4 linked regions of the Caenorhabditis elegans genome follow. The protein of the gene in region 3 purifies or fractionates together with the protein of the main gene of each other region. This does not show direct contact. Each region holds a gene or a part of one and is shown on either strand. Other genes may lie near its edges.

Region 1 (8,289 bases), on a different chromosome or scaffold from region 3:
CTGAACCTCCCTGGAAGCTCGGATTTTTGAGCAACATTTTTTGGCATTTTTTGAATTTTTTATTCAGAATTTCCAATTTTCCCGGCTCTTTTGAGGTTTTATGACAAAAAATTCGAATTTTTTAGGTTTACAAATCGTACCGATAAAAACGGCCGAAAATGTTCACATTTTCATCCTTTTTTCGTGTTCTTTAGGTAAAAATAGTTGAAAATTGGTGGAAAAAAAATCCAGAATTTCAAGGAGTTTTTTTTTCCGAATGAAATTCAAAAATTTCCGAATTTTAGGCTTTTAGGGGGGATTTTTAGGATTTTTTGAAGTAATTTTTTGGCTTAAAATATGAAAATTTCGCGAGTTTTAGCTCAATTTTAGGCCAGAAACGGTTGAAATTTTCAAATTTTCAGCGAATTTAGATGAAAATCGCTGAAAATTGGTGAAAAAGAATGCGGAATTTTAAATTTCAGCACTAGAAAATTCATTTTCTGAGTGTTTTAGCTAATTTTTGGCTGATGAACGGCGATTATTCGATATTTTTAGGCCGAAAATTATCAAAATTTTACATTTTTAAGTAAATTTCAGTTAAATAAGTCAAATTTTCAGCCAAAATTTCAGCCGCTTTTCTCTCACCTGTATCTCATTATTCAGCTTCTCGTCTTCTCGTTCAACATCTGCCAATTCTTTTTGAATCGTCTCTTCTCTTTCCTTATTATCAGCAATTAATCCAGAAATACGACGAATCTCGTTACGAAGGAACTTATCACGATCATCGACCGACGAGAATTGACTGCGTTGGCCCTGTTTTGCGAGAATCTCTTTTGCACGGGATTCGTCAATTCTGATGTCGGTTTTCAGACGGGATTCCTCTTCCAGAAGCTTCTGTAAATTGGATTTGGGTTAAAGTTTTTGTTTCAAAATGAAAATTTGGGCATAGCTTCCGCATCTCCGGTGACTAATGTGAGCTATTGGCAATTGAAAGGCACAGAAATCCGATATTTTCCAGTTTATTTCGTGGAAAATAACGGATTTCAAGCCGAACAATCGCTTTTAACTCACACAAGTCACAACATTCGATTTTTTAGAGCATTTCAAACTAAAAATTCTAAAAATACATAAAATTTTCACCATTTTAAATTAGATTTTTTAATTAAAAACTAGCAAAATATGGAATTTTTTCTCGGAAAAGATTCAGCGAAACATTGCAAAATTTATTAGTTTCTGGGAATTTGCAAATTTATTGAGACTAAAATATGTGTAAAATCAGAATTTTTCGATTAAAACTGGGAATATCTCAATTTTTCTAGATTTCGAAGCAAAAATAACAATTTTCTTCCATTTTTAATCTAGAAATCAGAGAAAAACGGGAAAACTTGAATTTTCCAGTTAAAATTGAAAATTTGGGCATAGCTTCCGCATCTCCGGTGACTAATGTGAGCTATTGGCAATTGAAAAGCTCAAAAATTCGTTTTTTCCAGTTTATTTCGTGGAAAATAACGTATTCCGAGAGCCGATCGCAATCGCTTTTAGCTCACACGAGTCACAATAATTTGAGATTTTATGGAATTTTGGATTTCAAATATTGTTAGAATCGAGTTTTCGGGAAATTTGCAGCGAACAATTGCAAAAATGACATTTTTCTGGAAAATATCAAATTCTTTGAGATCAAAATATGTGTAAAATCCCGAAATTAGTGATTTTTTTTTTGAATAACTCCTACCGATTTCTGTCAATCGAGTTTATCTTAAGCCTTTAAGTCGTAAAATTCTAGAAAAAAAAACCGCTAAAAGACTAAATTTTCACTGAAAAAAACTGAAAACAATGAGCTGAAAAGCAATGTTTGCTGAAATCTTTACAGAATATTTTCAAAACCCCGAAAAGCTCGAAAATTTGCCAGAAATTGGTTTTTTCCCCATTTTTTTAATTTCTACTGCGAATTTCAAAAAAAAAAACAAAAGTCAATTTATGCTTAAAAAAATTCCAATTTTTTAAAATAGATTGAGAAGGCTGGAAACTCTTACAGCATATTCAGGCTTAATCGTATCGAGCTCCTCCTCGTTCTTGAAAATCTCATCACCGACACCTTGAAGCGAGTGTTCCGCGTTTTGACGTCCCTGGCGTTCTCTGAAAATAACTTATATATTTTTTGTTTAAAAATCGGTCAATTTTGGTAATTTTTTTAGCTCAAAATTTTCCGCGAAAACAAAAAACGCTGAAACTCTAAAATTGGTTTTTAATGGATTTTTAGGTGAATGTCTGATAAACTGGTAAATTGAGCTTTAAATCAATGATAATGAAAAATTGGAATTTTTTCTTTAAATTTGTATTGATAATTTCAGCAAAATAAGCACATTTTCCAGGCTTTTCCAAGATTTTAATGAATTTTTCCAGGAATTTACTAGATTAAAAGTAGCAATTTCAGTAAAACATTCACATTTCCACTGCAACTTTTTCCTCACGAGGGACGAGGACAAGTGGTTTCTAGGCCATGGCCGAGGGGCCGACAAGTTTCAGCGGCCATTTATCTTGCTTTGTTTTCCGCCTGTTTTCTTTTGTTTTTCACAGCTTTTTCCCGTTTTTTCTTATTAAAACTGATAAATAAATATTTTTTGCAGATGCTAAAACAATTTCCAAGTGAAAAAATTATGTATTCAGTGGGCAAGCAGCGGTGAAAGTGGGCATTGTAATATGATGGATTACGGGAATACAAAACCTAAACTTTTTCTGAAACATGATACATATGCTGCTTAAATGCTGAAACTACCTGATTTTCATAACGAGACCGCTGAAAAAGTTTTGAGGTTTTCAAAATTCAACTTTTTGTACGAAAATCTCTACTTTTTCACCAAAAAAGTTGAATTTTGGAAACCTCAAAACTTTTTCAGCGGTCTCGTTATGAAAATCAGGTAGTCTCAGCATTTAAGCATCATATGTATCATGTTTCAGAAAAAGTTTAGGATTTGTATTCCCGTAATCCATCATATGACAATGCCCACTTTCACCGCTGCTTGCCCACTGAATACATGATTTTTTTACTTGGAAATTGTTTTAGCATCTGTAAAAAATTATTATTTATCAGTTTTATTAAGAAAAAACGGGAAAAATTGGTGCAAAACAAAAGAAAACACGCGGAAAACAAAGCAAGATAAATGGCCGCTGAAATTTGTCGGCCCCTCGGCCATGGCCTAGAAACCACTTTTCCTCGTCCCTCGTGAGGAAAAAGTTGCAGTGGCAATTTCATTAAAATATACGCATTTTTTTGCCAGTGATTTTCTCTCAAAAAAACCTTGTATTCTCCTCATTCAACGAGTCAATTTCAAGCTTCAACGTCATTTTCTCCTCAACCATTTTAGTTTCCTCAGCCTGAAGTGTCTCTTTATCCTCACGAAGTCCTCTTCCAAGTGATTCCAGCTTCTTCTTATCAGTTTTAAGCTTTGCCATTTCAGCAATAACATCATTCAACTGACTTTTCACATTATTATCCTTTTGATTCAGTTCAACTTTCTGTTCATCAAGCTTTGTTTTCTCTTTTATCGCTTCTTTATTTGTATTATCATACATTGTATATTCAACACTTCGCTTCGTTTTATCCAATTTCTGATATTCTTTCAAATCTTCTTTCTCGTTTTCAAGAGTTTGGAGTCGTTCGTCAATGTATTTCAGAAGGCCTTGGATTTTTTCCGTTTTCATCTCTGAAATTCAGGAAAAATCGATAAAATTTCAAGATTTGAGAATTTTTCTTCAAAAAAAAGGGTAAATTTGTGATTTTTTAAAAACATTTTTTTATGTAAAATTGCAGAAAAATCAATAAAATTCCCGATTTTGTGCACTGTTTTGTTCAAAAAAGGTTAATTTCAGATTTTTGAAACATTTTTTTTGAAAAATTTGAGAAAAATCAATTAAATTTCAGGTTTTGATAATTGTTTTTCTTCAAAAAAAAAAGGGTGAATTTTCGATTTTTTGAATTTTTTTTTGTAAAATTGCAGAAAAATCGATAAAATTTCAAGATTTGAGCATTTTTTCTTCAAAAATGTTAACTTTCTGATTTTTCAAATATTTTTTCTTGTAAAATTTGAGAAAAATCGATAAAATTTCACGTACCTATTTTCTTCGAACTATTTTCTTCGAAAAATTTCTTAAAACTCTTAAAAAGCTTTTTTTTTTTAGTTTTTTTAGCTAAATTTTTTTGAAATTTCTGAGCTTTTTGAATATTTTACCAGATAAATTTTTCGGTCGAAATACCAGATTTTGAGCACTTTTTGTCTTCAAAAATCTTCAAAAATCCAGTAAAATCGGTAAACTTCAAGCTTTTTTGAATGAAAATTTCAATAAATTCTGACATTTTCCAGAAAAACAAGCGATTTTTGTTGAAAATAGTCAAAATTTGGTGATTTTCGTAGCTTTTTGACAATTTGCAGTCATTTTTCAGATAGAAAATCAATATATAAAGGTGAATTTCCACTTTTTTGAATAAAAATGCACTAATTTTTGAGAGTTTTTTTTGAAAATAGTCGAAATATGCTGACTTTCGGAGTTTTTGGACAATTTCCAGTCATTTTTGCGCGACTTTGCAAAAGAAAACCAGAGTTTTGCTGAAAATGTGCAATTTTTGCATACTTAACACCAAAAACCATGAAAATTTGATGATTTTCCAGTCATTTTTCAGCAAAAAAAAATCATTTTTCTAACGTTTTCACCGAAAAAACAATTATTTTTCAGGTACGCACTGGTTTCCTTCAGGATTTTCAGACTTTCTTCCTTTCTTTCATCGTAAACTCGTGTTCCGGCGACTTCTCTCAGTAGCTTTAGCTTATAAGCGTCCGGCGAAGTGGCCAACTCGTTGATTTTTCCCTGTTTAACGATGTAATACGGGTTTGAGCGAGAAAATCCGGCGGATTCCATGAGATTTACCACCTGAAATTGAGGAAAAATCGATAAATCTCGAGGTTTTCCACAGCTGGAATACCTCGGCACGTGGCACCATTTTATTATCAATGTAATATTGATCCTTTTTCTTTCCAACTTGACGAACAATCTTCACTTCTGAATTTTCAAACGCCATTAGACGCTTTTCCGAGTTGTCAAAGGTGATTTCGACACGAGCGTGGGCGACTTTCGGTCCGGTACTCTCGTGAAGCAGACCAAGACGTTGTTCTTCTTTCAAATGAGCATATTCATCGGAAAGAACGAATTGAATCGCTGAAAATTGACATTTTTCAGCTTTTCCGCAGAAATTCATGCGGCTAACCATGGAAAAAATTGGATTTTCCCGATCCATTTCGTCCGACGACGACGTTCGAGCGTGGACTGAAGCCCGACACATTGGTGTTGTCTTTGTAGCTTCGAAAGCCGGTGATTCTCACCTGAAAATAGGGAAAAATCGATGAAAAACTTGGGAAAACTCACTTCTTTGATCTTCATCGGTTTATTGCATCAAGTGATGGGATGTTGACTGAAACATCGATAATATAGATGAGAAAATCGCAGAATTTAAGTCAAAAAAAACTTTTTGAATGAGGAAAATCGATGGAAATCGCAAAAAACACTGAAAATCAGCAAAAATAAATTTCAAATTCAAAGCGAAGAATTCGCGGGCGCGACCCGGGACTAGAAATCCCCACTCGGCCACCCGGTGTGTACTCCTCTCGGACAAGGATATTTCGAAAAATGAGGGTTTTTCCAAATAAAAACGTGTTATTCTCGGAAAAATACTAGAAAACCACGGAAAAACGTGTCTAAAACAAAAAACTAAAGCAGAATAACAAAAAATTATTTATTTCAATTATTTCTCACAAAAATGAACGGAGTAGCTGGCGAATCGCCGAGCTACGACGAGTACCTGACGTATTTCACACCGGGCGATCGAATTCTGATATCGGAAAATCATCCAAATCATGCACAACGCCTCAATTCGTACAATAATGTTGCGTGGACGAAGACACATTTGGCTGTGAGTGGCAGAAAAGAAAAAAATGCTGAAATCTGAAATTTTTTGCTGAGAATCTCTTCAAAACAGGCAAATCTTCAACATTTTCAGCTTCTCGGTCACATTGGCTATATCGAGAGCATCAACGAGCACCGGCACACTGCAAATGTTCGGGTTTACTACGCAGTTCCGCAAAATCCAGAGCTTGTAAGCTGATTTTTTGAAGATTTTGTGTAAAATGTGTGATTTTTCGGAATCTAGCGATCTTTTTTGTACTTTTTTCCATTGAAAATCGGAAAAAAAAAGTTTAAATTGCTTGGATACTACCGTAATCGTTTAAAGGCGCACACATTTTTACTGATCGCGCCAGGAGAAGTATTGCGAAAGTGGCGTGCGTCTTTAAAAGGCTACTGTAATTTTTGATTTTCAATATCGAATTTTTAAATGAAAATTGGTTGATAACGGTACAGAAACTGAAATCTTCATTGAAGATACTTAAAACTTTTCCTGAATTTTTTTGATTTCAAGCTTTCAGAGGTAACACTGAAAAAAGAGCCTTTTTCCGAATTTTTCATCCCAAATTTAAATTTAAATTTTCAGTTCAAGCTCTCTACCGAATGGCCGCTGGACGCGTTGGAATTCCCTCAATGTATAGATCATTCAAAAGGTGATCTCGTTGCAATAACCCGCGGAGATCCGGAAAAAACGACAATCGGAATAGTGGCAACGAAGGAACCATTGAATTTAGGTGGAATTCCGAAGCATTTGGTTCAACTGAAAAGCGCCTCGAATCCGACGATTACCCGGGAGATTCAGGTGGCGGTTAATGCGAATACGGGATGGACTGATGAGAGACGGGATATCTTTTTGTGTCCGGTTTATTCGGGTCCCCGATTGTCAATGATTGCTAGAGATAATAATGAGCCGTCGGTTCATACTTATAAGGTAGGTAACTTCAGGCATGTCTGCCTCCAAAACTGCCTGCCTACACGCTTATCTGATTATGTGCCTACCTAGTTGCCTACTATCGCAATAGCCTGTCAAATTGTTGTCTGATGCTGAAAATGCCTGAAAATGCGTCCGCATAAAGCTTGTCTGTCTACATATTTGCCTGATTGTTCATAGGTAAGCTTACAAACCTACATACCTACATGCCTACTTGCCTACACGCCTGCCTCCGCGACTACCTGCTTGTTTTTTTCCTGCCTTCCTACATGTTTGCCTGAAAATGCGTCTGCATAAAGCCTGTCTGTCTACATATTTGCCTGCTGGTCCATAGGTCAGCTTACATGCCTACATGCCTACCTGCCTATCTGCCTACCTACCTACATGCCTACCTGAAAGATAAATCGATTTTTTCAGCACACAATCCACGGCTACACCCCGGACACCTTAATGCAAGTGATCGCGAATTGGGGTGAAGACGCGCTGAGCTATGCGCTTCTCGTCGAATCGATCCGATCGGATCCGCAACAAGTTCGGACCCTTTTCGACGGTCAACTGCCACTTTTCCGTGCTGTCGCCGATGATCTACGGAATGTTGTTGTGATGCTTGTCGCGTTGGGTGCAGATAGAACCGCCAGAGATTCCGAGAATCGAACTATCATTCATGTGGCTGCGGAGAGGTGGGAAATCGTAAAAAAATCGATTTAAAAAAAAATTAAAAAAATCAATAATTCTTGCAGAGGTCTTGACAAAATGCTGGATACTGTAATGCTTCTTCTCCCAAAAGACATCAATTCACAAGCGGCCAACGGTCTAACACCGCTTCATTTGGCCGCCCGTCACGCCCACGCAGCTTGTATCGATCGGCTTCTCGGTACGAGTACTTGTATTCCGTGTGTTCCGAACAATTTTGGCGACACACTTTTGCATGAGGTGTGCCGGCTGCCAGAGTCTTCGAATAAGGTTTGTGTTATTGATTTTTCCGAAAACTGACCAGAAAATCGATAATCGCTAAAACAATTTCAGAAAGCGGCAATAAGTAGAATTCTGACAAATACTCGTGCGAACATTCATCACGTGAACAATAGCAATATGACACCCATCCAAATTGCAATTATGAGTGGTCATGTCAGGTAAAACCTCTATTAGAAGTGCACCACCCCCTCCAACATTTTCAGCACCGTCGAGCAGCTTCTCCTGTTGCGTGCCTCCTACCGTAATACCACCTCGAAAACTGGAATGAGCGCATTGCATTTTGCCGCTGCCTCTGGCCATGCGAATGTTGTCAATAAACTTATTTCGGTAGGTGAAAAAAATTAGTAGTGTTGGTGGCCGAGGTTTATGCAAAACTCGGCCACGTTAGTTTTTAGGATTTTTTTGCCGAAAATAATGAATTTAAGATCAAAATTTTTCTCGAAAAATTTTAA
Region 2 (9,999 bases), 4.7 Mb from region 3:
GACAAGGTCACCATAAAAAATATTCGAAGAAGGAGAAAGAAAGCTTGCGAGGCTGTGAGAGGAAAACGGCGATCAGGTAGAATATATAATTCAGTTGTTAGGCATTGTGTGGTAGTAGCTAATGACTGAGAATTGAATGAAGAACCCGAGAAGAGAGGAATGAATAATATGAAAGAGAGTGAAAAAGAGAGAGAGAGAGAGAGACGAGAGATATGGGTGGTCTCGGGGAGTGAAAGAGGGAGAAATGGCAACGGTTTGGATAGCTCGACGAGAGCAAAAGAGACAGCCTCTGCATAATGCTCTGCGCTCTCTTGCTCTCTGCATATTGGCAGCGTCTAGCCACCGAGAGATGGGCCACGGTAAAAAGCGAGAGAGAGAGAATGGTCCGACTGATGTAATGTACAGGCCAAGGTTACAATGTGGATAGTTGTGGAGGACTGCGCGTTTGGTTAGATGCGCCACTAGGGCGGGGCTGCTCTGTGTTTGCTCTCTGGAAATAGCGTTGTGTGAGCAGAAGAGGGAGATTTGGGAAAGTCGGGGTCACGTTAAGGGTCAGAAGATGATGTTAAGATTGGGGAAGGGGTGAACAGGTGAAGTGGAAATAGTATTGAATGACTTTTTGGTGGTCTTTGATGTCGAGAAAACAATGGATATATATGACAATCTGGAAGATTTAGAGCATTACATTACAGAAATTCAAATTTTAAAGGTGGTGTAGTCGAATTTTTTTATTGTCTTATTAGACTCGATATTCTCTCAAAACACCGAGTTTCACAATGAAACTTCTTGAAAACTTTTCAGAAAAAAGTTATGACGGCTCTAAAAATGGCCTAAAATTAGTTAAAATCGGAAATTTGACCGACTTGTCAATGTCGCAGTGGCTGGAAATAATTTTTTTTGATATTACCGCCAAATTTTGAGTATACAAGTCGATTACCTCGCGTTTTAAACGAGTATTTAAAAATCGATGGACGGCGAGTTTTGGTTAAAAAAATTAAAAATCAAAGATTTTTTAATACCTTAATCAAGTTTAAAACGTAAGATAATTAACTTGTATACTCAAAATTTGGCGGTGATTTCAAAAAAAAATTGTTTCCAGCTGCTGCGACATTGATAAGTTGGTCAAATTTCCGATTTTAACTAATTTTAGGCCATTTTTTGAGCCGTCATAACTTTTTTCTGAAAAGTTTTCAAGAAGTTTCATTATGAAATTCGGTGTTTTCAGACAATTATGAGCCTGATAAAGCAATAAAAAAAATTCGACTACACCACCCTTAAAAGTGGGAAGTTAGGAAAAGTTATAGGATTTCGAGCTAATAAGGAATGTAATCAGTAGTTTTGTAGGGCAAAATTAGGTGCCTACAAGGCAGGCATAATATGCCTCGAAGATGCCTATCGATAGGCGATGAAACATTTATCTGACTACATGAAAACCTAGAATTGTAAAATTATTTTTGTTGTCTTAAAATGATAAAAATATAGTCTAAAATGACTGGCTGGAGTAGATAAGATTCTTCGATTTTTTTCATAGAAAGTTTTTTAAAAATCTATAGAGATGTAATGATAAAATTCAATTTTTCATCAAGTTTTGTTACTAATGACGGAAGAAAAATATCAGAAAACAACATCTTTTCTAAAAAAAAATGGCTAAAACTTGAGCCATTTTTGCAAAAAATGCTATTTTTCTGAAAATCGAAAACGAAAACACAATTCCGACAAATTTCCGGTTCGCCGATTTCCCGAAAATTTTCGTTTTCGGCAAGTTGTCGATATGACGGCAATGTGCCGATTTTCCAGAAATTTTCATTCCGGCAATTTTTCGATTGGCATTCGATTGGCACCTAGTAGGCATTTTGTGCCTACATGAAAACCTAGAGTTGTGAAAAGATTTTTTCGACAAACCGGCAAATTGCCTAATTTGACGACAAACCAATTGCCACCCACCCCTGATCTGGTACAAAAAATAATTTCGAATAAAAAGCATACATTTTTGAACTTTTAAGATTGGCAATGCTAATTGTAAAAAATTTGGAAAAAAAATACCAAAATATTCTAAACAATTCTTTTTTCAAATTTACTAATTACTAATTAAAAATTTTCCAGAATGCCATCTGCCGGAGGTCTTCACGGAATTCGTGCTCCATCAAAGGATCGTTCGACTCAGAAGCCACCAGCAGCAGCTTCTACTCCACAATCGAAGCAGTAAACGAATGTACATATGATCGTTGTCGTATTCCAATGGGACCAGCTTCATCTTCACCGCGAAAATTAATTTTAAAAAAAATATTTATGATGATTCTCATTGATTTTTTTGTCTCATCCCACCCCCTTATACCGTATTTTTTCTCTTCTTCATATCCATAGTTTTTGTTGAGCTATCTTTTCCCGTTCACCTTTTCGCGCGCGCGCACTGATCTACTAGTGTTCATTATTTCTGACTAATTCTGTATAATAGACCGGCCCCCACACACACATGTTTACAAAAAAAACCGGAAGCCCACACACACACACACAGATTTATTCTTATTATTATTATACCTTTTCTTTATCATTCAATCCAGTGAAATTCACATCCTTATTGTTGTGTCTCCTCCACCCGCCCGCCCGCCCGCCCGCCCGCAATGAACATTTCTTGTAGATTTCCCTCTTTTTGTCTGAATTTTGCGAAAGGTTTCTTCTGAGCCAAGTTTGTTATTTGAATTGAAATCATCGTTTATCTTGAAATTTTAGGGAAAAAAGAGAAAAAAAAAGCGAAAAGAAATTAGGAAAAATATTCGGCGGTGAGAATCAGAGGGGTTTTTGGAGGGGGACTACAAATTTTTGAATTTTTTAAAATTCACAAAACAAAAAAATAAGAAGGAAATGAAATTTTTTGATTGGGGGGGGGAATAAAAGGGGGAAATTGTACAATTGTACATGTTTTTGAAACAATAAAAAACTAATTTGCGATCAGTACGACTATAGAAGTTGGTACACACCAGAGGTGGGCGGATATTTTTTTCGGATATTTTCTAATAATGAATTTATCAATAAGTATTGATGTAGTTATTGTGGAAGAAATGTATCCGAACAAAAGAGTAACTATTAAGCAACATTTTAATATGATAAAACCTAGAAAAATTCTACAAATTTTCTGTATAAACGATATGCAAGTCCATTATCCGATATCCGTAAAATCCGATGTTGCTCGGCTAATAAGTTTTAAGGTCTCGGTAAGGAAAACTTGTTGAATTTTTCTAGGTTTTATCATATTAAAATGTTGCTTAATAGTTACTCTTTGGTTTGGATACATTTCTTCCAGAATAACTACATCAATACTTATTGATAAATTCATTATTAGAAAATATCCGAAAAAATATCCGCCCACCTCTGGTACACACATTTGTAATTACATTCAATTTGTGCATTTATTTACATTTTATCAGTTATTCTGCTGCTGCTCTGCTTCTTCCTCCTCCTCTCCAACCAGCTCCCACGAGTTCTCGGCGGTTGTCTCGTCTTTCAGTTTTGGCATATCACGGTACTCTTCATCTTCTTCAGAATCAGAAGAATCCGATGAGCAGTCCGAATCACTCGAGGAGTCACTGGAACAATCCGAATCATCGGATGATTCCAACACCTCGACGCCCAGATTCTTCTTGAGCTCCTCGTTGACTTCCTTCAGTTGATCTACCTGATCGTTCCAGCGTAGACGATCGAACTCTTGAGCCTCGGATTGTTCTTTGGCATCTTCGGTGAGCCGGGCGATCGAACGACGTGCCTCGGCGAGAAGATTTTTGTTGATAGATGAGGTCTGGAAGAGAGAAGAAAATTAGAGATTTTGAAGCAATCGTTGCGGTTTGATCTACAAAAAATGCGGGAATTTTTCTCCCAGTAAAATGTGACGTCATCAAACACTTAGCCACACGCTCTCCTCAAGGCCGAATAATTATTAGAGCGCGCTTGCTGCGCTTGGCGTTTCTGCATCCGTGGCATTTTGACTTTCCACTGAAAAAAGCAGATATTTCAGATTTATCGAATTTTTAGCTTTTAAAATTTTTTTTTCTGCATTTTACGAACAAACCTTTTGTTAAACAGTGAAAATCGAATTTAAAATGATACTTTTGAACTTTTTTCGTCCACTGGTTGTGAAATGGTTTGAATTTGAAGAAATCAACGGGATTTTTCTTATTTTCTAAATATATTTCTATTAAAAATCGGTTTTAAACCATTTTTTGACCCTAATGTTAAGTCACAAATGTATTAAAACCGATTTTTAATAGAAAAATATTTAGAAAATAAGAAAAATCCCGTTGATTTCTTCAAATTCAAACCATTTCACAACCAGTGGACGAAAAAAGTTCATTTTAGTCATTTTAAATTCGATTTTAACTGTTTAACAAAAGGTTTGTTCGAAAAATGCAGAAAAAAATTTTTAAAGATAAAAATTCGATAAATCTGAAATATCTGCTTTTTTCAGTGGAAAGTCAAAATACCGCGGATGCAGAAATGCGAAGCGCGCTCTAATAATTATTCGGCTTTAACGAGAGCGTGAGCCATGCGAAATCAGTTGAAAAGTCTGCGTCTCTTCTCCCGCATTTCTCGAAGATCAAACCACGCTGTCAGAGTGTCCCATTTCGGTTTGATCTACGTAGATCTACAAAAAATGCGGGAGTTGAGACGCAGACTTCTCAACTGACACATGGTTAAGAACGTGCTGACGTCACTTTTTTTTGGGAAACAATTCCCACATTTTTTGTAGATCAATCCGTAATGGGACAGCTTGGCACCACGTGTGTGTGTGTTCAAAAAGCAAAAAAAAAAGCACTTACCATTGTCAAATTTTTGAGCTTCTCCTCAAGATCTCTAACCGTTGAGTGTCGTTCTTCGAGGATTTGCTCCCGCTCCATCGCCATGAGCGCTTTCACATTTGTCATTTCCATGTTCGAGAACTCGACTGTCTTCCGCAAGTTGTCTGCCTCCAGCATCTTCTGATGCGCCTTCTTCTCCAATTCGTCGTTGGTTTTGACGAGATCTCCGAACTTTGTGAACAGTATCTCGGCCTTTCCTTTGTACAAATCAACATCTTTTCTGAGCCTGTCACGATCCATTTGAAGGCTTGATACACTGTTCTGGTACAGTTCGCACTCGCTTCTGTACTGGGCAAGCACGTTCTCGACCTTCTCCTCGAGACCTTCGTTTTGCTCCTCAAGATCTGTGATCTTCTGTTTCAATTCGATTCGGACGGAAGTTTCATTCTTCCATGCATTCACATCCTTCTTCAAGTCACTGAGCCACTCGACTTTTTCCATACGTTGAAGCTCACAGAGACTATTAAGCTTTAAAATCTCATCTTTCTTGGCAGCAAGCTCTTCACGGCGTTGCTCGGAGAGCCGTCTAATCGACGCGGTAAGCCAGGTATTCTTTCTCTGCATGGTTCTCAACTTTTTTCCTTCAGTCTTCCGTTTGCCGATCAACTCGTAGATCTCCTCTTCCAGCTCAGCACACTCGACATCCCACTCCTTCACTGCGTTCGCCTGGACTGATTTGGTATCACTCAATTGGACATTGAGATCATCAATCTCGGCCAGGAGTCGAGTAATCTGTCGTTGCGCCGCTGCTTGTTGCGTTGCCAACAGGCCCTCGAGCTCGTCGATTTTGCGGCGACATTCACGAGATTCCTCGTCGAAAATCTCCCGCTTGTCCATCGTTTCCTTGGTTGATTGGAACAACATTTTCTGCAATCCACCAATTTCATCACGAAGTTTGACACATTCAGCATTCCATTTCTCCTCGACGCGCTCCATGGCATGACAGAACTTGGCCTTCTCATTCGAGAATGTCATCGTTTGCTGGGCGTGTTTCTCGGTGATTTCGCCGATCTGTTGCTTGTAGGCGTCACGGAGCTCCTCCAGCTCTGTCATCTCCTTATTGAGGTTGGCAATTTGGTTCTCGAAGTTGGCACAGTCTAAGAGAAAGCTCTGTTGCTCGGCGATCAAGAAGCCCTTGTGGAAGTTGAGCTCTTCTTCCATCTTGCACTTCTCGACTCCTCTTCTTTCGAGATCAACGCGGAGAGCCGAATTGGCGTCTTCAATTTCCTCAATAGCTTCAAGAGCATCTTTGAGTTTTCTGTTCAATTCCTGAATCTTCATCTCATTCTCCTGGAACATTTTCTGGTCGGCACGAATTCCACTTGGTTTCGATGAAGATTTGAGTCGTTCAAAGTCGGCGGTGATGTTCTCAAGACGTTCGTTCCACATCTTCTCAGAGTTCTTCGTATGGTTCAAGATATCCTCCTTCTGAGCCTCTAGCTTAACATTCTCTCTTCTGAGCTGAGTTTCAGCCTCTTTGAAGTGCTCGGTCAACTTGGCCTTCTCAGTTTCCCACTTACGACACTGATCGTTCAGCTCGTCAAGCATCAACTTCATGTTGTCGGTATAACTGTTTGAGGCGTAGTCGGCCGGCTTATTGTAGAGGCTCTCCATTTTCTCAATTTCCTCGTGCAACTCATCGACGTCCTTCACCAACTGATTCCGTTCGCGAAGCATCTTCCCGAGCTGATCACGAGTTGTAGCCAACGTCGCCATCAATTCCTTATTCGTAGATTCCATGACTCGAATCTCGTTCTCAGCACTGGCGAGCTTCTTCTCGAGCTCCTCAACTCCCGGATGCGTCTCATTGCGAACTCGTTCTAGCTCGTGCTCACAGTCAGTGCGAAGAGCCAACGTCAGTCGAAGACTCTTATTCTCATCCTGAAGCTCGGTCACTCGACGCTCAAGTGAGCTGCTAGTCTGCTGATAGGTGGGAAGTTCCTGCTGCTGAGACATTTTGGAGATCTGCGGATAGGATGATGCTCTTCAACTGCCAAGGAGACGGGGCAGTGTAAAGAGTGTGAAGCGTTGAGTTTTCTACCTGAAATAGGGGAAGTTCGTAAATGATGGAAGCTTGGGAAAAAGGAAAAAAGGAAAAAAGAAAAAAAAAGTTGAGAAGAAAAGAGAAATAGGCAAGTAAGGGGCAAGAAGAAGCATAAGAGTCACGTGCGTACGCACACGAATACGCAGACACCCAAATAGAAATCGATAGAGAAGTGTGGCGGGGGTCCACGGAAGGTGTCCTGGTCTCTTTCCGTCTCTTTATTCTCTCTATTCTCTCGCTACACCCTTCGAACGTTCTCTGCTGTGCACACTATAGATTGGAGAACACTCGTCGGAAAATACTATAGATTTCTATCGTCCGGGGGACCGAGATGGAATCTGTAGAATTGTTGGAAAAGTGAGCAGGAAACCGGGAAGAGATAACAATTGAACGGGAAATTGGAAATTGGAAAACTGTAATAGTTTGGGAAACAACTACAGTTTGGCCGAAGTCTGAGGGCTTTTGAAGTACGATTATTCAACTTTTTGATAATCCAACTACTTCAATGAATAGTTTTTTTTTCCAACGTTTGCCGAAAGGTTTTCCTGTTGTGGAGCTGTCTGGGTGGAATCCAATTGCCGGAATTGAAAATTTCCGGTAAATAGGCAAAATGCCGGAGCCCCCATAGAGTTTTCGTTACTCGAAAAATCGGCAAAAATTGCTGAAGAATGGCCAAGATTTTCTCAGGGGTAAGCGGCAAATCGCCGGAATTGAAAAGTTCCGGCAAATTGGCAAAATGCCAGAATTGAAAAATTCCGACAAATCGACAAACCGGCAAAATGCCGGAATTACAATTTCTGGCAAATCGGCACATTGCCGGAATTGAAAAATTCCGACAAATCGGCAAACCGGCAAATTGCCGGAATTGAAATTTCTGGCAAAAAATCGGCAGATTGGAGGAATTGAAATTTCCGGCAAATTGTCGGAATAGAAATTTCTGTCAAATCGGCAATTTGCCAAAAATGACAAATTCCGGCAAATTGGCAAATTGCCGGAATAGAAATTTCTGGCAAATCGGCAGTTTGCCGAAAATGACAAATTCCGGCAAATCGGCAAATTGCCGGAATAGAAATTTCTGGCAAATCGGCAATTTGCCAAAAATGACAAATTCCGGCAAATTGGCAAGCTTCCAGAATTGACAAATTGAAAATTTCAGACAAAAATCGGCAAATTGACGGAATTGAAAAATTCCGACAATGATTTGTCGGAATCGGAGCAAACCGACAAATTGCCGGAATCGGAATTTCTGGCAAAAAATCGGCAATTTACCGAAAATGAAAAATTCCGAATCAGCTAACCGACAATTTGCCGGAATTGAAATTTCTGGCAAATCGACAATTTGCCGAAAATGACAAATTCCGGCAAATCGGAAAATTGCCGGAATTGAAATTTCCGGCAAAATATCGGCAAATTGTCAGAACTGAAAAATTCCGGCAAACCGGCAAATTGCCAAATTTGCCGGAAAATATCCTTGCCAAGCGGCAATCTCTATTGGCTGATGTAATCAAATTCCATAGGCGTTGCATCTCATCTTTTCACGTGAACAGCACATGTCAAATGTGAAAAACCGGCAAAAATTGAACTGATAAACGAAGACAATGAATGGAAAATTATACATACGATATGTTATAATGTGCATTTAATCTTATCTATCAAAAAGTTCAAGTACTCTTTTTGTTGGAATAAATTGGAAAATTCAAATTTTTCTAATTTCAATTTCATTTTGAAATGAAAGAAAAAAACTTGGTTTCTTATGTGACGAGAGATCACACTGAACAAAAAAACCAGCTTCCAAAACAACATCATCACGAGAAAACAGAGAAAAATGCGAAACAACAAGCAAAAGCTTGGGTGCCGCGTCTGCGTCTCTTTTGTATTTTTGTCGTGTTGTGTGCTTGGGGGGTCTGCTGACTTGTCTCGTCTCTCCATGAACGTCCAATGGAGCGCGGTTGCTAAGGGGTGGTAGACGCATTTTTTCGAAAGTGTGTACTTTGAACCCATTCTTTGCAAGTAGTCGTTCCTATTCATTGCACAGTGAAAGTTGGCTCATAACGCTCAGAATCGCGAAGTTTTCGATTATTTGAAGTATGTTTGCTGTAGATTCAACAAATTTTGGACCTTTGGCAGGTTTTTGAGCAAAAATCGGCAATTCTGGGAAAGAGGCAAACGTTTTTCCGGCAAGTCGGCAAATTTCCGTAATTGAAAATTTCCGGCAAACCGGCAAACTGCCGAATTTGAAATTTCCGGCACGTCGGCAAATTGCCGGATTTGAAATTTCAGGAAAGTCGGCATTTTGCTGGAATTGAATATTTCCGGCAAATTGTCGAATTTGAAATTTCCGGCAAGCCGGCAATTTGCCGAAAATTAAAATTTCTGCCAAATCGGCAAATTGCCGGAATGGAAAATTTCCGGCAAACCGGTAAACGGCAATTGCCAAAAATTTTCGGCAAAGTGTGGTTTTGCACATTCCCTTCTAGAAATTTCAATTTTGATCGGCAAATTTCCGGCAATTTCCCAAATTGCCGGAATGAAAAATTTCCGGCAATTGCAAAACTTGCCGAAAAGACGGCAATTACCAAAAATCAACGGCAAATTGTGTTTCCGTCTTATGAAAAAATCCCACTAAAATGTTCCGGAAAATCGGCAATTTGCCGAAACAGAAAATTTCCGGCAAACCGGCAATTGGACGAATTTTGCCGAGAATGAAAAGTGAAAATTTCCGGCACATGCAGAATTTGCCGGAAAAAACGGTGGTTGCCAAAAATTTTCAGCAAATGGTGTTTCCGTCTTATAAAAAAATCCCTCTAAAAGTTTCCGGCAAATCGGCAAATTGCCAGAATAGAAAATTTCCGGCAAGTTACCGAATTTGCCGAAAAAAACTTGTCAAAAATGGGCCGTTTCTGAGGAGTTTTCCCAAAAAAAAAACTGTAAAATTTCGGTTTTTAATCGAATTTTCACCTTTTTCTACTGAAAATTACACTGAATCTTGATAAAACTGCATGGCAAAAATTCCACAGAGTTTTATTAAATTTCAGTGTAATTTTTAGTCAAAAAAGGTGAAAATCCGATTAAAAACCGATTGTTTTAGAGGATAATTTTTAGTCA
Region 3 (7,300 bases):
ATAACTGGTACAGGATCAAATTTTCCACGAGCTTTATTACTCTGCATTTTGAGTTCGTGCATTCCTGGAAAACATATTTCGATAATTTATGCTACAATCAAATAATACAAACTTTTATGTACATTTTGCATAAAATCATTAAAATGAACCCGTCGTTTTTTATCTATCGGACAATTTTCAAAAAATAAATCCATGAGCATTGTTTTCCCGCATCCAACTGAACCATACAAGTAAATTCCACGTGGTGATATAATTTTTGGAGTATCCTTAAGGAGCACAATTATTTGAATATTTTCGAAATATAGTTTGTCAAATTTCCAAAACTTCAAAATATTAATTGCGAAAACTTACTACTTTAGAATTTTGAAACATTTTCCAGAATCTTGAACTTGATTTTTCTGATATATTAGACTTGTTCGTTGGTTGATATGATTCGATTTCTTTCCGCAATCGTTCGAAATCAACAATCATTTTTCTCTGAAATTTTTTTTTAATTTTGAAACATTTTCCAAAAAAATTTACCTGATAATCGTCTTCTTTAAGTGTCCCTTCGTTTACTTTTTTCGAGTACGCATCGCTTAATGTGACTAAAAACCGTTGAACTTGCAGATATTGTAATTTTGAGCGAATTGGGGAGAGCATTTCAGCTGTAAAAGATTTTCGAATAAATTCTTGGTTCAAAAATCACTGATAAGATATTATCACAACGGACTGGGCAATTTTTTAATAAAAAACTTCGAAGAACGATCAAAATTGTGGAGAACCGACCGTTTTCTCTGCACATCAAGTCACTAGAGTGTATCAATAGAGCGAACTTTCAATTTTCAAAACGGCGCGTATTTCGAATGTAATTTATTTCAGAGAACGATTTTTCCAATTTTTTATTCAACAAGTGTGCATGGATGTGTACATGGAGAATTTGAAGATAAATAAAATAAGGAAAACGCGTTAAACATCGAGAGACGCAGAAAAAGAGCGGTTCTTGACCCAGTTTTTTGTATGTGATGATTCGGAACCAAGAGCTTCCGCGGAAAGGGATATTCTCATTCGGGTTAGCAATTGAATCTTCTTCACCGTCACCACTTCCTTATAAATCTTCTCGTTATTACGTTTGTCTCTAAAGTTGTTGAAAATAATTACTAGATACCAGCACCTGTGCCTACCTGAAAAATCTCCAACACGCGACAACAATCATCATCATCCAAATTTGAAGGACTATGACAATCGCGAATGATCCAGCCATCAACCAGGCAGCATAATCTGAAAATGATGAATTAAATCTGAAAAATAAACATAAAAACTAACTGAAATACGCTGTCTCATCACGTGGATTTACTGGAATACCGTATGATCCAAGGACTGTTGTGCCAACTTTTTTGTCTCCAAAAAGACCGATATACATGAATGAAACGAAAAAGATAAGGCCGATGGCAAGCCCAGCACCCTGAAATTATTATGTTTTATAGCCAAATATCAGTTTTTCGAATTCACCTGTAACAGAAGATACGGCACAAGAAATTCTGCTCTTTGCGCGAAAATCGCCCAGAGTACTGTACCTGCAATGAAGACACCAGCGAAAAATCGAATAGCTGCTCCAGTTACATCCGCCTGAAAGTTATTGATCCAGTTATTATTTAAAAATTATTAATTTCTTACTCTTTCGACCAATTCCGATGCTAAGATGGATACAATGAGATGCCAAAGTTCGAAAACTACGGTAACACACAACATTCCTGCTACAATTTTCATTCCGGTCTGAATTATTTATTTTTGAATCATTAAAATAACAAATAATTTCACTCTACATTACTCACCAAAGAATGTGCATGACCACAACAACACAGGTATTTCTCATGATTCGGATTAAAAATTCGGTCGCCTCGTTGTTCCTCATCGTACTCACATTCACTGATTATGCATGTTGTAGCTGAAATTATTAGAATAAAATCATATTCCGTTGTCGTCTAAAGACGAATATTTTAGCTATATTTTACGCGGAAAGGTCTCGCCACGCAGACAGCGAACTACTGTAACTCGTGTCGATTTACGGTTTGTTGATGTTCTTCAGACTTTTTATAAATTGATATTAAAATTCAATTAAAACAATATGACACGAGTTCCAGTAATTTGTTGGCTGCGCGGCGAGACCATTCCGCTTAAAATTGGAGAACACTATCATCCCTAGATGTCTATGCAATACGAGCGGTCGAAATTTGGACACCTGAATTTCAATTTATACCTTCTGATTGCAACGATTGCCGATTGTGTCTAGAACCACTCCATTTCCTTATAGAACGCATTTTGTACTTTTCTCAGAGATAACTTCGAATTCAAATTTATCGAAATAAATCTATTGAGTATACTTATCCATTCTTTTTGTTGTACCCTGAAATTAATATCAAACCCATGATAATTGCGAACAAGGAAAAATAATTCAAGAAAGAACAATTTAAAAAGAGTTCTGATCTCTAAAAATCACTCGTCACGCTGAAAAATCTGGAAAAAAGATGCGCTCATTTTTCAGGTTAAGGAGAGAATTCATATGAAAAGGGGCAAATGAGATGAAGCTGAGCTCACAAGCGCGAGCTCATGAAATGATTAGCCCAATCAGTAGACGAGTCAAACTGGAAAGGGAATAGGATGTGTGAAAATGAAGACGATGATGACATTTTTCATCTAATTCTGACAGATGTTTTGAGATTTTCAACAACAATTGATATGGTGAATTTGGCAAACAATAGAACAAAGTATAAAAAATGCAATAATGTTAACTGAAAAGTGAATTAAAGTTTTACATAGGAGTTAGTAGTGGGAAATTGGTGCCATAATAAAGAAAAATATATACTATTTTCAAACAAGACATGTTTCAAATTCACAATTTAACTGCATTCACTTTGGTTTTTGCGTTCTTCCTTCCACGGTGCCCATATTTTTTGCCACAGGCTCCACAAGCGTCAACGTAGTTGCAACAAATGCAAATGAGTGGGAGACAACATGTCAGAGGACAGCAGCACACGGCAAGGCACATCAAAATCTTCTAAAAATTATTAAAACTTTAAAAATAAAATTTTTAAAGTGTGATAGTTTCGACCTTCGAAGTTATCATGTAAATCAGCTATTTATAATATTTTCGTTTCTGACTATCAAAATCATCTCGTTGCACTTTAAAAATAATCAGCAAAAATGACTAACCTTTCTCAATCGATCTTGTTTTCGCATGATGATTCCTTTTCGACATTTCGGACAGACGAGTGCACCCACACCTCCTCCGGGAGATCCACCAATTTGTGGAGACTGGTTAACGCACAGAGTTATAGCTGAAATTTTAAGATAAATAAAAGAAGAAGTGGAAATTTCTACTTTTTGATGATTAAAAAAAGGTGAATGGCAACTTGAAATTATGAATAAAAATAAATTTGTCTAGACTAGGTCTCACAAATTGGACATCCGGTTTTTTGAGTTCTAATTTTGTGTTCGAGCGCTTTTTTTCTCGATGTCTGAGACTGGATTTCAATAAAAAACAAGGAGTATCGAGTATTTTATAAAAATGAAGTTTCGCCGAAACATATATATATATCTTGTATAATTTTTTTATAATTTTTAATATTACTTATCGAATATACCTGGCGACGCCTGCTGTTGCGGTGGGGCTTGGACAGGCGGTTGAGGTGAGACAAGCTGCACTGGATTGGCCATTTGAGCCATCTGAGTCATCATCATCTGTGGTCCTGCAGTTGTCATGATCGGTTGCTGCATAACAATTTGCTGAGGCATCATTTGAGCCATTTGGGGCATCATGTACTGCTGTTGAACCATTGGCATTGAAACTGGAACCATTTGAGGCTGTGGTTGAATTGGTGGAGCAGATGGAACTGATGGATAGACTTGAGATGAATAATATGGTGGCGGTTGTTGTTGAGAATATTGAGAAATCCTGTAAATTGTGAATTTATTCCAATGAATTTTCTTTCTTCAACTCACTCTGGTCTGATATGTTGCCGCATAACCTCCACTCTTCGTGGAGAAATGTACTTGACAGTTTCGGGCCCCAAAAATTGAACTCTTCCATCAGGCGTGAGTGGGGGCTCTTCATCTGAAAATTAGGTGTTTAAAATTTTTAGATTATTTTATAAAATAACTTACAGACGTAATCAGTCGGATTAATTGTCATCTTGAGCAACGATTTTCCGATTGAAAACAGATGAGAAAATAAAAAAAAATAATTCCTCGAATCTCAGTCTGTGAGAAGTGCGTCGATGTGTTTGCGTACTTTGATTGCATACCGTAGTTCACTATAAAAATTGCAAACGAACATTTCCAATAATATTATTTTTATTTAAAAAAAAGTTTAAAAGTGTCAAGCAATCTTAAAACTTGAGAAGAACTGTATAAGTTTTTTAAAATAAAATCGGAAGTATAGAAATATCGTGATTTCGCGAAGTTTTGACATGTCAGTTTAAAGGCACTGCCAATGTTTCGAGTGGGTCTCGCCACGATCTCAGTAATTGTTGTCATTACAGGTGCCAAGTTATACAGGAGAATTCATTTCATGTAGAAAATTAAGTCTATGAAGTTTCAAATTTTGAAGTGGCCAGAGAAAACTAGGATTAATCCCGAAAAATTTAGCACCTAGCGAAACATTTCCCGCACCGGAGTATGATTTAAAACTCTTCGTTTCCAAATAAAGAAATTTCTATCTTCTCACACACTGAAGTCATATCGTTTTTTTTCCACTAGTGACAAAACTTTCAATTCGTCTAATATTTTTTATTACAACTCCCCATTTATGTCTCATCAATTTTCAGTCAAAACTCTGAAATTTTGACCACATTCAACACGTGTCAGGGTGTTCTTGCACCTGAATTGAGCCGCACTTCCCTATCTTTTTCAATTTTCTCTGCCAAACTTTTCTTTTCTTTCTTGATAAGCCGAACAAATGTGTGTGTGCCTGCCAAGTTGTTTACCACGTTAGAGATAAGAGAGATGTAGAGACGCAGATGTTCATGAAAACGCCCGTCTTTTTGTTCCCGGGACCCTGAGCATTGGAGAATCCCATGCTACATTTAATCGATACCTTTTTTCTCAAATTAAATATTCTATAGCTACATACATATTGTCTCAAATTTTGAAATACTAGACAGTCTCTAGCAAAAAAATTTACGAATTTGAGATATTTTAAGTTCTTCTTAACTTCCTAATCGAATTCCTAACTGACAATGAATCAATAACGAAGCTTTTATAACTAAAGAACAAAAATTTAAGAATGTTCTCAAAACTTCCGATTCAAGCGGTTCGTGGAGCTGCCTCTGCAATCCGTACCCATCAAATTCCAGGTCACAGAGTAAGAGTTATCTTATCAGAAAATTAAAATTATAAAATAAAATGTAGCAAAATGCAATTCTTCCAAAAACCATAATATAATCACTTTTTCAGCTCCCACTAGCAAAATATGGTGGTCGACATACAGTTTGTGCCCTTCCTGGAGATGGAATTGGCCCCGAGATGATTGCCCATATCAGAAATATTTTCTCGTTTTGTCATGTAGGTTCCCATGCTTGAAAATATAAAGTCTACTATGCACATTTGGGTACTTGTGTATTATACCCCCGCCATTGTAAAAATTAATCAAATTTCCATTAATTTATTTGTTTAAATTAAACGTGATACCCATTTTCCTTATTAGGCTTCGGAGTGCTGTTTTCCTAAGCCTAAAATTCCACACATTTTTATTTTATAAGGTAAAAAATTAATGTTTAATGGCGGGGGTATCATACACAAGTACCCACATTTGAATTTAAGCTTGCTTCTTCAAGAATGTGAAAGTTCTAAAAACCATATTCAAGTTATCATTTTAAAGTCACGTTAAACTGGATTTACAATATACCGTAACCGTGTTTGGGTTTAAAACACACAATATTTAATTTCAATATTCTTCACTGCTCATAAGCTTTTTTAGTATCGTTTTTCTTCTATTAGTTTTGGATTTTATTGCTCAACTTTGATTGCTCGTATCTCGACTCTTTTTGATTTTTTTAAAAAGTTGGTAGAATACAAGTTAATCGTAATCCTTTTTCACATGTTGAGAACTACCAAAATGGATAAGGTGAAGCAAAAAAAAGAGACAGATGTTAATTTTAGGCTCCAGTCAACTTTGAAGAAGTGCAAGTCTCATCGTCGCTTTTGGATGGAGACATGGATGCTGCTATGCTGGCAATTGAAAGAAATGGTGTTGCTATAAAGGTAATGAATTAAATAAAATTAGTGAAATACCTGCTTGTTCAATTGTAAAAAAAAGTACCTCTGTTTTTTTGAATTGAATTAAAAATTTGCATTAGTTTAATGTCAAAATATAAATATTACAACTAATGTATATAAAATAATTTCAGGGAAACATTGAAACAAAACACGACGATCCACAATTCAACTCTCGTAACGTTGAACTCAGAACTAAATTGGATCTCTATGCCAATATTCTTCACTGTGTCACAATTCCAACAGTACCTACCAGACATTCTGTAAGTAAACTTACCAATTTGTTTCAGTTGGAGAGTTTAAAAAAATTGTATTCAATTGTTAAAACTTCTTATTTTTAAGGGAATTGATATTGTTCTTATACGTGAAAATACGGAAGGAGAATACTCTGGATTAGAACATGAAGCAGTTCCAGGAATCGTAGAAAGCATTAAAGTGAGTTCAAATTCCTACTTTCCTGTATTTTCAGTTAAATAAATACTTTGAGATCGTCACCCGTGAGAAAATTGAGAGAATCTCAAGAATGGCATTTGAATATGCAAAAGCAAATGGAAGAAAGAAGGTTACAGCTGTTCATAAAGCTAATATTCAGAAACTTGGAGATGGACTTTTCCTAAAGGTGTGTTTTTAACGTTTCAATTTAAGGCCTAAAATAATGAATATTAAATGATATTTCAGGTTGTTCGGGACATGTCAGAAGATTATAAGGATATCAAATTTGAAGCAATGATTGTGGATAATGCCTCAATGCAACTTGTCTCTAAACCTCAACAGTTCGATGTAATGGTTATGCCAAATCTTTATGGAAATATCATTTCGAACATTGCATGTGGCCTTGTCGGTGGACCTGGATTAGTGTCTGGAATGAATCTTGGAGATAAATATGCTGTTTTTGAAACAGGAACTCGTAATACTGGAACTTCTCTTGCTGGAAAAGATATTGCCAATCCAACTGCGTTCATTCGAGCATCTGTTGATATGTTGAGATATTTGGGATGCCATTATCACGCTAATATTATTTCCGATGCATTGTGGAAGGCTCTTGTTG
Region 4 (7,152 bases), on a different chromosome or scaffold from region 3:
GTTTTCCAGGCTATAAAAATAGGACAAAATTGATCTACAAACCACAATTAGTGTAATACATTTTGAACAATTCAGATACATAGTGTTGTGACTTGGGCTCCGGAGAGCCGGCGCATCCCAACTTTGCGGATGTATAGTTAATTAATTGGTCAGAATCACCCACGATCCCACAATTAACATCCGCCGCCGAATACTCACAATGTCTTCCGTATTCTTCCGAAAACATTCGCTCTAATAATCATTTAATAAACAATTATTATTTGAATTACCGCCACGCAATGCAGGCGCGCTCCACGGACAACAACGGAGTGTCGTAGCGCGCTCTCTTTAGCCATTGCTCACATTAATTATTGGCCTAAATTTGATGATGCAATTATCGTCACTCTCCTCCGATTCTCCCATCGTGTGATGCCGTACTCCTTCTAATTAATTATTATTCGACTCCTGGCTGCTCTGCAGCACATTCTCTACGTTTTTCCTGATCAATAAACAGGTTTTTATTCGTACTAATTGTTCTGTTATATTCACACCGCTCATCCCTCCTCTCGTTCCGTCCGTCGTCTTTCTTGTCACTCCGAGGTTCTGGCTACCTCTCGGATTGGAGTGTCAACATGGTGCATCGAACCGAGTCGGATTGGATCCGATGAACGAACCAAAAAGCCAGCTCGTGACACGGCGGGACCTGAGGAAGCGGCAAGCCAGTCGGAGGAAGAGGACAGGAGCCTAAGCGTGCAATTACCGCTTGGAAGACGCGCCAGACGCGTGGAGTCAATTCAGGAAACCCTAAGCGGGGCGAATACCGCTTAGAAGACATGCTAGCCGTGTAAGGAAATCCTAAGCGGGGCAAATACCGCTTAGAAGACATGCTAGCCGTGTAAGGAAATCCCAAGCGTGGCGCAAAACGCTTGGAAGACATGCCAGACGTGTAAAATCTACCACTGAACCCAACTTCATCTACGACGTAATCGGCTGCCCAGAAGATCCAGGAATTCGTGCCCAACAGCTCAATTTATGAAGAAATCCCCGCAGCTCACTCAACACTCAACTGATGGTCGATAAGTTGCCCAATTGCAGCAAGGATTCAGGAATGCGCACCTAGCCGCAGAAAGTGAGTATTTCTTTATAAAAATCTTCGAAGAGCAGTGGCACGGCAGTGGAGCCGATGGATATTCGTCGAAAAAATTTCTTCTGTGAAGAATAAGCGATTCGCAGTTTTGGAAAGCCTAGGACAGCGATTCTCTGCCTGGAAGACATGCTAGACGTGTAATCGGATTCCCAAACGGGCAACTACCGTTTGGTTGCCATGCTCAGCCGTGTTGAATCAGGAATGTCCATTCTCGAATTTTTTTGTGTCATTTGCAATAATGGCACAGAAGAGGAGAGAAAAGTGACGCAAAGAGCTAATCTCGCAGCTCTCAGGAAGCCCAAGTGCTCAATACGAACTTGGAAGCCACGCCACGCGTGAGGGGAGGTCGGCAAATCTACATGGCTCCCGGAAACTCCAATCATCAAACCACTTGCCACTGAACCATCTACCGCCAAAGGATCTCGGCTGTCCCGGAGAATCAATCAAAATCGATTCAAATCACCTCTAGGATCGGAAAGCTTGGATATCGCCGCAAGGAGGAATTATTTCTTGTTTTCTATATGATTTTTAATTCTAATAAACCACTTTGGCCTTCTAACTCCGTTCCGGGAAGTAAAAATCTCACCGGACGGATTCTTCTCTCCATCGTTCGTTTTGTTTGTTTGTTTGTTCGCCAGGAAGTTGACTCAAGCTCTACGTTAGCTTGAACGCCACGCGCAGCGTGATGTAGGACCCAAGTGGACGAATAAAGACTTGGACGCCACGCCCAGCGTGATGAAGAAGCATTTCGAAACGATTGGAGCCGCGCCATGTCGCGGGATATAAATTCGATAGGAAGAAGCTGAGCCTTGCTCGCCAGGAGCCGCAACCAAGTTCCCCCCGGAAGGACCCCCCCCCCGGAAGGAGCCGGCGGGAAGTGATATATCGCCGTCTATTATTGGGAAATTAATCTGCAATCTGGAAATCCCTCTCCAGCCCGATCTGACTGTCATAGGAACCACTACTTCCTCAGGACAGAGCCGAGCAATCGCTGCCCTCACGGCTTCTGGTCAATCGATAAAAGGCCAGTGGGAACTGCCAAAAAATCGGCTTCCCCCCGGAAGAATTACCCCGGAAATCTACTCTGCAAATTCGGAAATCTCCATCCGCCTCCAAATCAAGGAAAATCGCAATTTAAATTGCCGCCAATTGAATTTCTGGCTGACTACGGTAGACAATTGCGACCACGGCACACGATCTGCCGCACAATCACGGACTTTCTACTTTCGAATCCCAAAATTAATTTTGGATGTTTTATGGATTTTTTTCTGGATTTTCACGCATTTCTTCGCTCCACTCGTTCATTTATTACACTTTTGTGACGTCCTATCCACAATAAGTCTGCAATTTTCCAGGATCGAGCACACTCACGCTTGGACATGCCAAACAAGAGCACCGACGACGATAATCCTCCGCTGCCCTGCAGCTGCCCAGCTTCTAGAAGCTCAGGAGATGACAGAGCTCCAACACCAGCGTCAATCATCTCGCTACAGCGTCAGGCATTAGCGGCGGTCCTGGACGCCAGACTACGAATGAGTGCAGAACAAGCTGACGACGAGCAAAGACAAAACGCTGATCGACGCGCTCAGGATCAAAGGGAGAGCTTCCGACGTCTCCGCGAAGAAGCATCAAGCTTCGCCGACTTCTTCACCAACGCGAGATTGCCAGCCATGAGGACCTTTTCGCCAGGTTAATATCGAGAGTATAAAGAAATGACTAACAATTTTTATTGTTTTAGAGGCTGCCCGCAGCTCCTCCAACTCTTCCGGCAGGAATCCACGCATGGATCAGGATTTCGAACTGGCAATGGAACTGGCTTGTGAAGAAATGTCGGCGACACACGCGAGAGCCCAGCCGCCCATCAACTATGAAGCCAGCAATTCCCCAGAGCAACCATCCAGCGAAAGCGACGAAGAAGAAAGCGTATCCAGCGCAGGTATGACAGTTCATAGAAAACTCTCATAAAAATCCAATTCGATTGTAGGAAGTGGTTCCATCACCCCCACGGCCGCCCTCGCAAACGTTGTGGCTCCACTGGAAGCAACTGTGGCCCGCATCGGAACCCAGATCACCGCGATTGGCAATCGAGTCGACGAGCTCTTCGAGCAACAAGCCCACATCTCTCGCCAGCTCAATCTCATCCTAGAGAGCGGCCCACGTCCCTTCAAGCGGATTATCATCAATCTATAGGCTCAATTCAAGGAAAGCGATTCCCAACCGAAGCAAATCGCCGCGTTTGTAACCATCCACTATCAGCATTCGGAAATGGCTGCCCTCTTCAAGAAGACCGAAGGAAACACGTTCCATAAAGAGGGAAACGTCGTCGAGCAAGCTCCATATATCGCAGGAGCGGTGACGGCCAAACGCAAGGAAATCGCAAGAGCTGCCCACGCTCTCCAAGGACCAGTGGCTCAGATCACTGCATCAGTGGATCAACACTTCATCAGAGTTGGCGCGGAGCCCGAGATGCCAAGACCAATATGGACGTCGACAAGATTGACCGCATCCAGTCTCCGATACTCCGTCAACACCACCACGGAATTCAGACGAAAATTGGTCGAACTGCTGAGAACCGACAGCTTCCGAGACACCCAATGGATCACCATTCTTCCCATATACCCTCCGGATAAAGAGGCTGCCCACGACGAAGCAGAAGCCGTCGAAGACGTGGGAGAAGCATCCGATTAAATCTAATTAATTGTTGATTGGTCTTGTTGGCGCGGCTGACCACCCGCATTATAAATGTTCTGTTTTGACTGATTCATGCCATTTACGTTATTGGAAACCGGTTGCAATTACCGTGATAATATCTACTCTCGCTCAATCATAATCGCTCTAACATTCCTTCATTCAGAACTGCCATCATGCCCCGCGAAGAAAGTGAATCTCCACTATTGGTCTACGAAGATCCGAGACATACGCCGTACACGCCGTTCAAGTATGCCAGAAAGGACGAGGAAGAGAGAAGCTCCGGAGGAGGAAAATCGCCGCCCAAGAAAGCCCCAAAAGCCCAGGATCGCATGTCACTCCGCGACAAATTTGAGGCTGCCCCCACCACCAAGAAACGCAAGACGGCTCAAGACCCAGCCGATGGTGAGGAGAAAAAACTAATTATGCAGGCTAAAATTGATAAACCCTCCGTTTCAGAGCTCTTACAAGCCATCAAGCCACTCTTCAACCAAGTCAAAAAGGAAATGGCCGATCAACTGGCTGATCAGCTCGGGAGATTCAACGAGCAACTCGACATGGCGGTCAACTCCTTCAGCGACGAGATAGTGAAGCTGAAGGCGGATCACGCCTTGGCCGAAAAGAATGTGGATACTTATGCCCAAAAGGTCTCAGGAATGTTCCAGCGCGCGGACATGATGTCTGCCAACGTCCAGGAGCAGCGAACTCAACAAGCCGAGGACAATCGTATGGCCTCCAAAGCGAGAGACAGGATCATTTACGACATCGCTCAGGTCGCCACCAACATGAAGACGATGAGCGAAACCATCGCCAAAATCGACGCTCGTGAGGAACAGGCTGCCCAAAAGCAAGCCGAGCGCCACACCCCACAAGGAGGACAGGGATCGTTGGAGCCAGCGCTGGTGAGACTTATATTTTCTCCTATGTCAGGGTAGAATATGCTCATGAATATTACAGAAGTGCCCACTGTGCAAGCGTCATCACGCTCCGGAAAACTGCACCATTATAAGAAATGGACTCGATCGTCGCGAGGAAGCCGAAAAGATCAAAATGTGCATTCAATGCCTCGAAGTCGGCGTGACAAATGACGATTGGGTCCACGAAGGCTGCCCAAAGGAGAAGGAGCAGTGCACCAGATGCACCAAATACATGAAGCCAGGAGAAATCGCCCAGACTCACCACAACGCCACATTCTGCCTAATGCTCACCTCGAAGCAGTACAAGCTCGAGCGCAAGGGATCCCCATCCGATCGTGTAAGCGTATCCTCACGACACAACGAAACAGAACAGTAACATTTCAGGATTACTCGCCAAAAGGCCGCAGAGGACCAATTCGTTCCCGCCACAACCGCTATGGAGGCTGAGGACGCCGCAGAGACAGCTACCATTAAGCTTCTGCATACTCGCTGCCCCCTCCTCATTATCATTCCCGTTGTTGGATTAAACCCGTTGTTATTGTGGCCAAGCCACTTACCATTGTTACTGTTGTTATTGTTCTTTTGGCTGCCCATTCATGGGATCTTATCTAAATAAAGCCTCATCGTCGAACTTCTTCAATTATCACCTCATTTATCCGTTCAAGAGTCACTCACTCACGAGATATTTTCAAAACATAGAGAAAGGGATCCACTCGGAAAAATTAATCCAGCTCAAAACCCCCACGGATAGGAGATAGAGACGCAGATACCTCTAAGCCGGCGCTAATCACCACCGCCCGCTCTACAACTGCACTAATACCTGCAACTTTCGGAAAAGAAGCGCTAACTCCGCGAAGCACATTTATTCGCAGCGCCTAAGGACCTGACAGCCCATACCCTTTAGGTCAGAGCTTCAAGCAACGGGGTCGAAACTCGCAGCCCCAACCTGATCAAAGAGCCCCATTCACAACTCGGAGATCAGGACACCAACCATCTCATTAACTCACAGTTAATGTCAGCGTGTCGTACAATCCCCCAATGACATCGCTCTATTGCTCCGAATCAGGACAGACGCAAACGCCCCTATCCACAGCGTTGCGATAGCTCATGGATTTTATACGCGTGGAAATATTGGAGAAGCGGATGGATTAGACCTCCAACACATTGAGGATAGCGGTGAAAGGGATTAGCTACCCCCACGTTAAACAGGAAGAATGTAGTACCGGTTATGGTAAATAAGAGCGCTTCAAGGATGCTCATTGGTGGCAGCATGCCCATCCCCTGATCTACAATTTCCCTTATCAGGACAGTCCCTAATCGACGGGTGAAGGATTATTCGAATACCATAATAGGAACGGGAAGTCATTCTAAATGTTTTTGCAATAACGTCGACATTGCACATCGCAGAGATTGAGGCGCGCCTAGCTCTAGCCCCTCCTTTACGCCCTATACGCGCTATAATTCCACGACGCTACTGAAGAAGAAGAAGAGATATACAGTTTCACGTTCGCGTGCCCTACATTTATCAACTTAGGCGAAACCCATACACGTGGCGCCATCTCACACGCAACCTAACCACGTGGCGGCACAATACACCGCAGGAATAGAGAATCACAATTCAGTTTGAATTTTTGAAACCGCGCAACTACCCGTTTCACTCTCAACAATCTACAGTGAGTATCAATGTTCTCGACAACTTTCGAAGTGCTAAGTAATCCTGTAATTGATGTATAATCTTACAGATGTTCCGTGCAAACGCAGCACTCAACAATAACCCACCTGGAGCGGCCTATCCACCGAAGGGTCCTAGGAAGAACTACGAAGGCCCAGCACATTGTACACTGGCTGCCCTCCTCAAAAGATCCGTCCCGCTGACCGACGAGGACATCATCGTATTCGCCGATCGTGAAGGAAACTGGCCCCTGGAATATGTCCCCGCAGACCCACTAGCAAAAGGAGGACTGCGTGCCTACGTCTGGAACGAAAGTAGACCGGACCCTCAAACCCATCTGGAAGAATCATTAACCCGCTGCCCCGAACTCGGCAAATGTAAGGATTTGGAAGTTTATTTCCTGAAAAACGCTCGTGCCCAAAACGTTCCGCGCAAAGATCCGTCGCTGCCCAGTGGCAGATGCAACCTGTGTGGAAGTCACTACTTTGGATTTGACATGAATGACCACAAAGTCAGAGGATGCCCGTTCAACAAGCTCAGCCCTGCTCAGAGACTTCGCTTCCAGGCTATCAATAACCTGGCGTACTGCCAACACTGCCACTCCAGAAGCCCAGATCACACCAAGTCACGTCATTGCTCACCGAGGAAATGTGAGAACTGTGGAGACTTCGGCCATCAAATGGAGCAAGCGATATGTGAAGAAAATATCGGAATCGATTCAACCTACTGGCAAGAGCAACAAGAACGTT

Evidence for each region.
Region 1: the proteins of C30F12.4 (region 3) and smc-3 purify together in Caenorhabditis elegans (affinity purification with mass spectrometry, with the first as the bait; one large-scale study listed by BioGRID). This does not show direct contact.
Region 2: the proteins of C30F12.4 (region 3) and Y39G10AR.11 purify together in Caenorhabditis elegans (affinity purification with mass spectrometry, with the first as the bait; one large-scale study listed by BioGRID). This does not show direct contact.
Region 4: the proteins of C30F12.4 (region 3) and ZC15.3 purify together in Caenorhabditis elegans (affinity purification with mass spectrometry, with the first as the bait; one large-scale study listed by BioGRID). This does not show direct contact.

What each region holds. Positions count from the first base shown.
Region 1 is NC_003281.10:11,288,065-11,296,353, reverse strand, and holds the start of smc-3 (Structural maintenance of chromosomes protein 3), read right to left. Parts: upstream 5,451-8,289; 5' UTR 5,413-5,450; coding exon 5,398-5,412; intron 5,355-5,397; coding exon 5,240-5,354; intron 5,191-5,239; coding exon 4,958-5,190; intron 4,906-4,957; coding exon 4,719-4,905; intron 3,684-4,718; coding exon 3,278-3,683; intron 2,116-3,277; coding exon 2,013-2,115; intron 874-2,012; coding exon 625-873; intron 1-624. Other genes in the region: mib-1 (RING-type domain-containing protein), read left to right, coding at 5,789-5,941, 6,029-6,124, 6,518-6,862, 7,280-7,542, 7,603-7,825, 7,889-7,995, 8,041-8,164. UniProt on the Caenorhabditis elegans protein: Involved in chromosome cohesion during cell cycle and in DNA repair. Involved in the repair of double strand breaks during mitosis and meiosis. Required for chromosome segregation during mitosis. Central component of cohesin complex.
Region 2 is NC_003279.8:2,290,024-2,300,022, reverse strand, and holds Y39G10AR.11 (TPR_MLP1_2 domain-containing protein), read right to left. Parts: upstream 6,897-9,999; 5' UTR 6,807-6,896; coding exon 4,812-6,806; intron 3,794-4,811; coding exon 3,422-3,793; 3' UTR 2,695-3,421; downstream 1-2,694. Other genes in the region: tpxl-1 (TPX2 domain-containing protein), read left to right, coding at 2,104-2,206.
Region 3 is NC_003279.8:6,969,499-6,976,798, forward strand, and holds C30F12.4 (LITAF domain-containing protein), read right to left. Parts: upstream 4,199-7,300; 5' UTR 4,172-4,198; coding exon 4,144-4,171; intron 4,094-4,143; coding exon 3,982-4,093; intron 3,935-3,981; coding exon 3,624-3,934; intron 3,318-3,623; coding exon 3,193-3,317; intron 3,038-3,192; coding exon 2,873-3,037; 3' UTR 2,659-2,872; downstream 1-2,658. Other genes in the region: C30F12.2 (ATPase N2B), read right to left, coding at 1-64, 113-266, 352-477, 523-642; C30F12.3 (Conserved plasma membrane protein), read right to left, coding at 949-1,117, 1,164-1,260, 1,306-1,444, 1,492-1,608, 1,657-1,755, 1,815-1,927, 2,240-2,300; idhg-2 (Isocitrate dehydrogenase [NAD] subunit, mitochondrial), read left to right, coding at 5,264-5,341, 5,434-5,541, 6,139-6,240, 6,387-6,515, 6,595-6,687, 6,740-6,871, 6,931-7,300.
Region 4 is NC_003283.11:20,299,630-20,306,781, forward strand, and holds ZC15.3 (CCHC-type domain-containing protein), read left to right. Parts: upstream 1-3,958; 5' UTR 3,959-3,990; coding exon 3,991-4,219; intron 4,220-4,273; coding exon 4,274-4,716; intron 4,717-4,771; coding exon 4,772-5,068; intron 5,069-5,115; coding exon 5,116-5,178; 3' UTR 5,179-5,279; downstream 5,280-7,152. Other genes in the region: ZC15.1 (C2H2-type domain-containing protein), read left to right, coding at 6,474-7,152.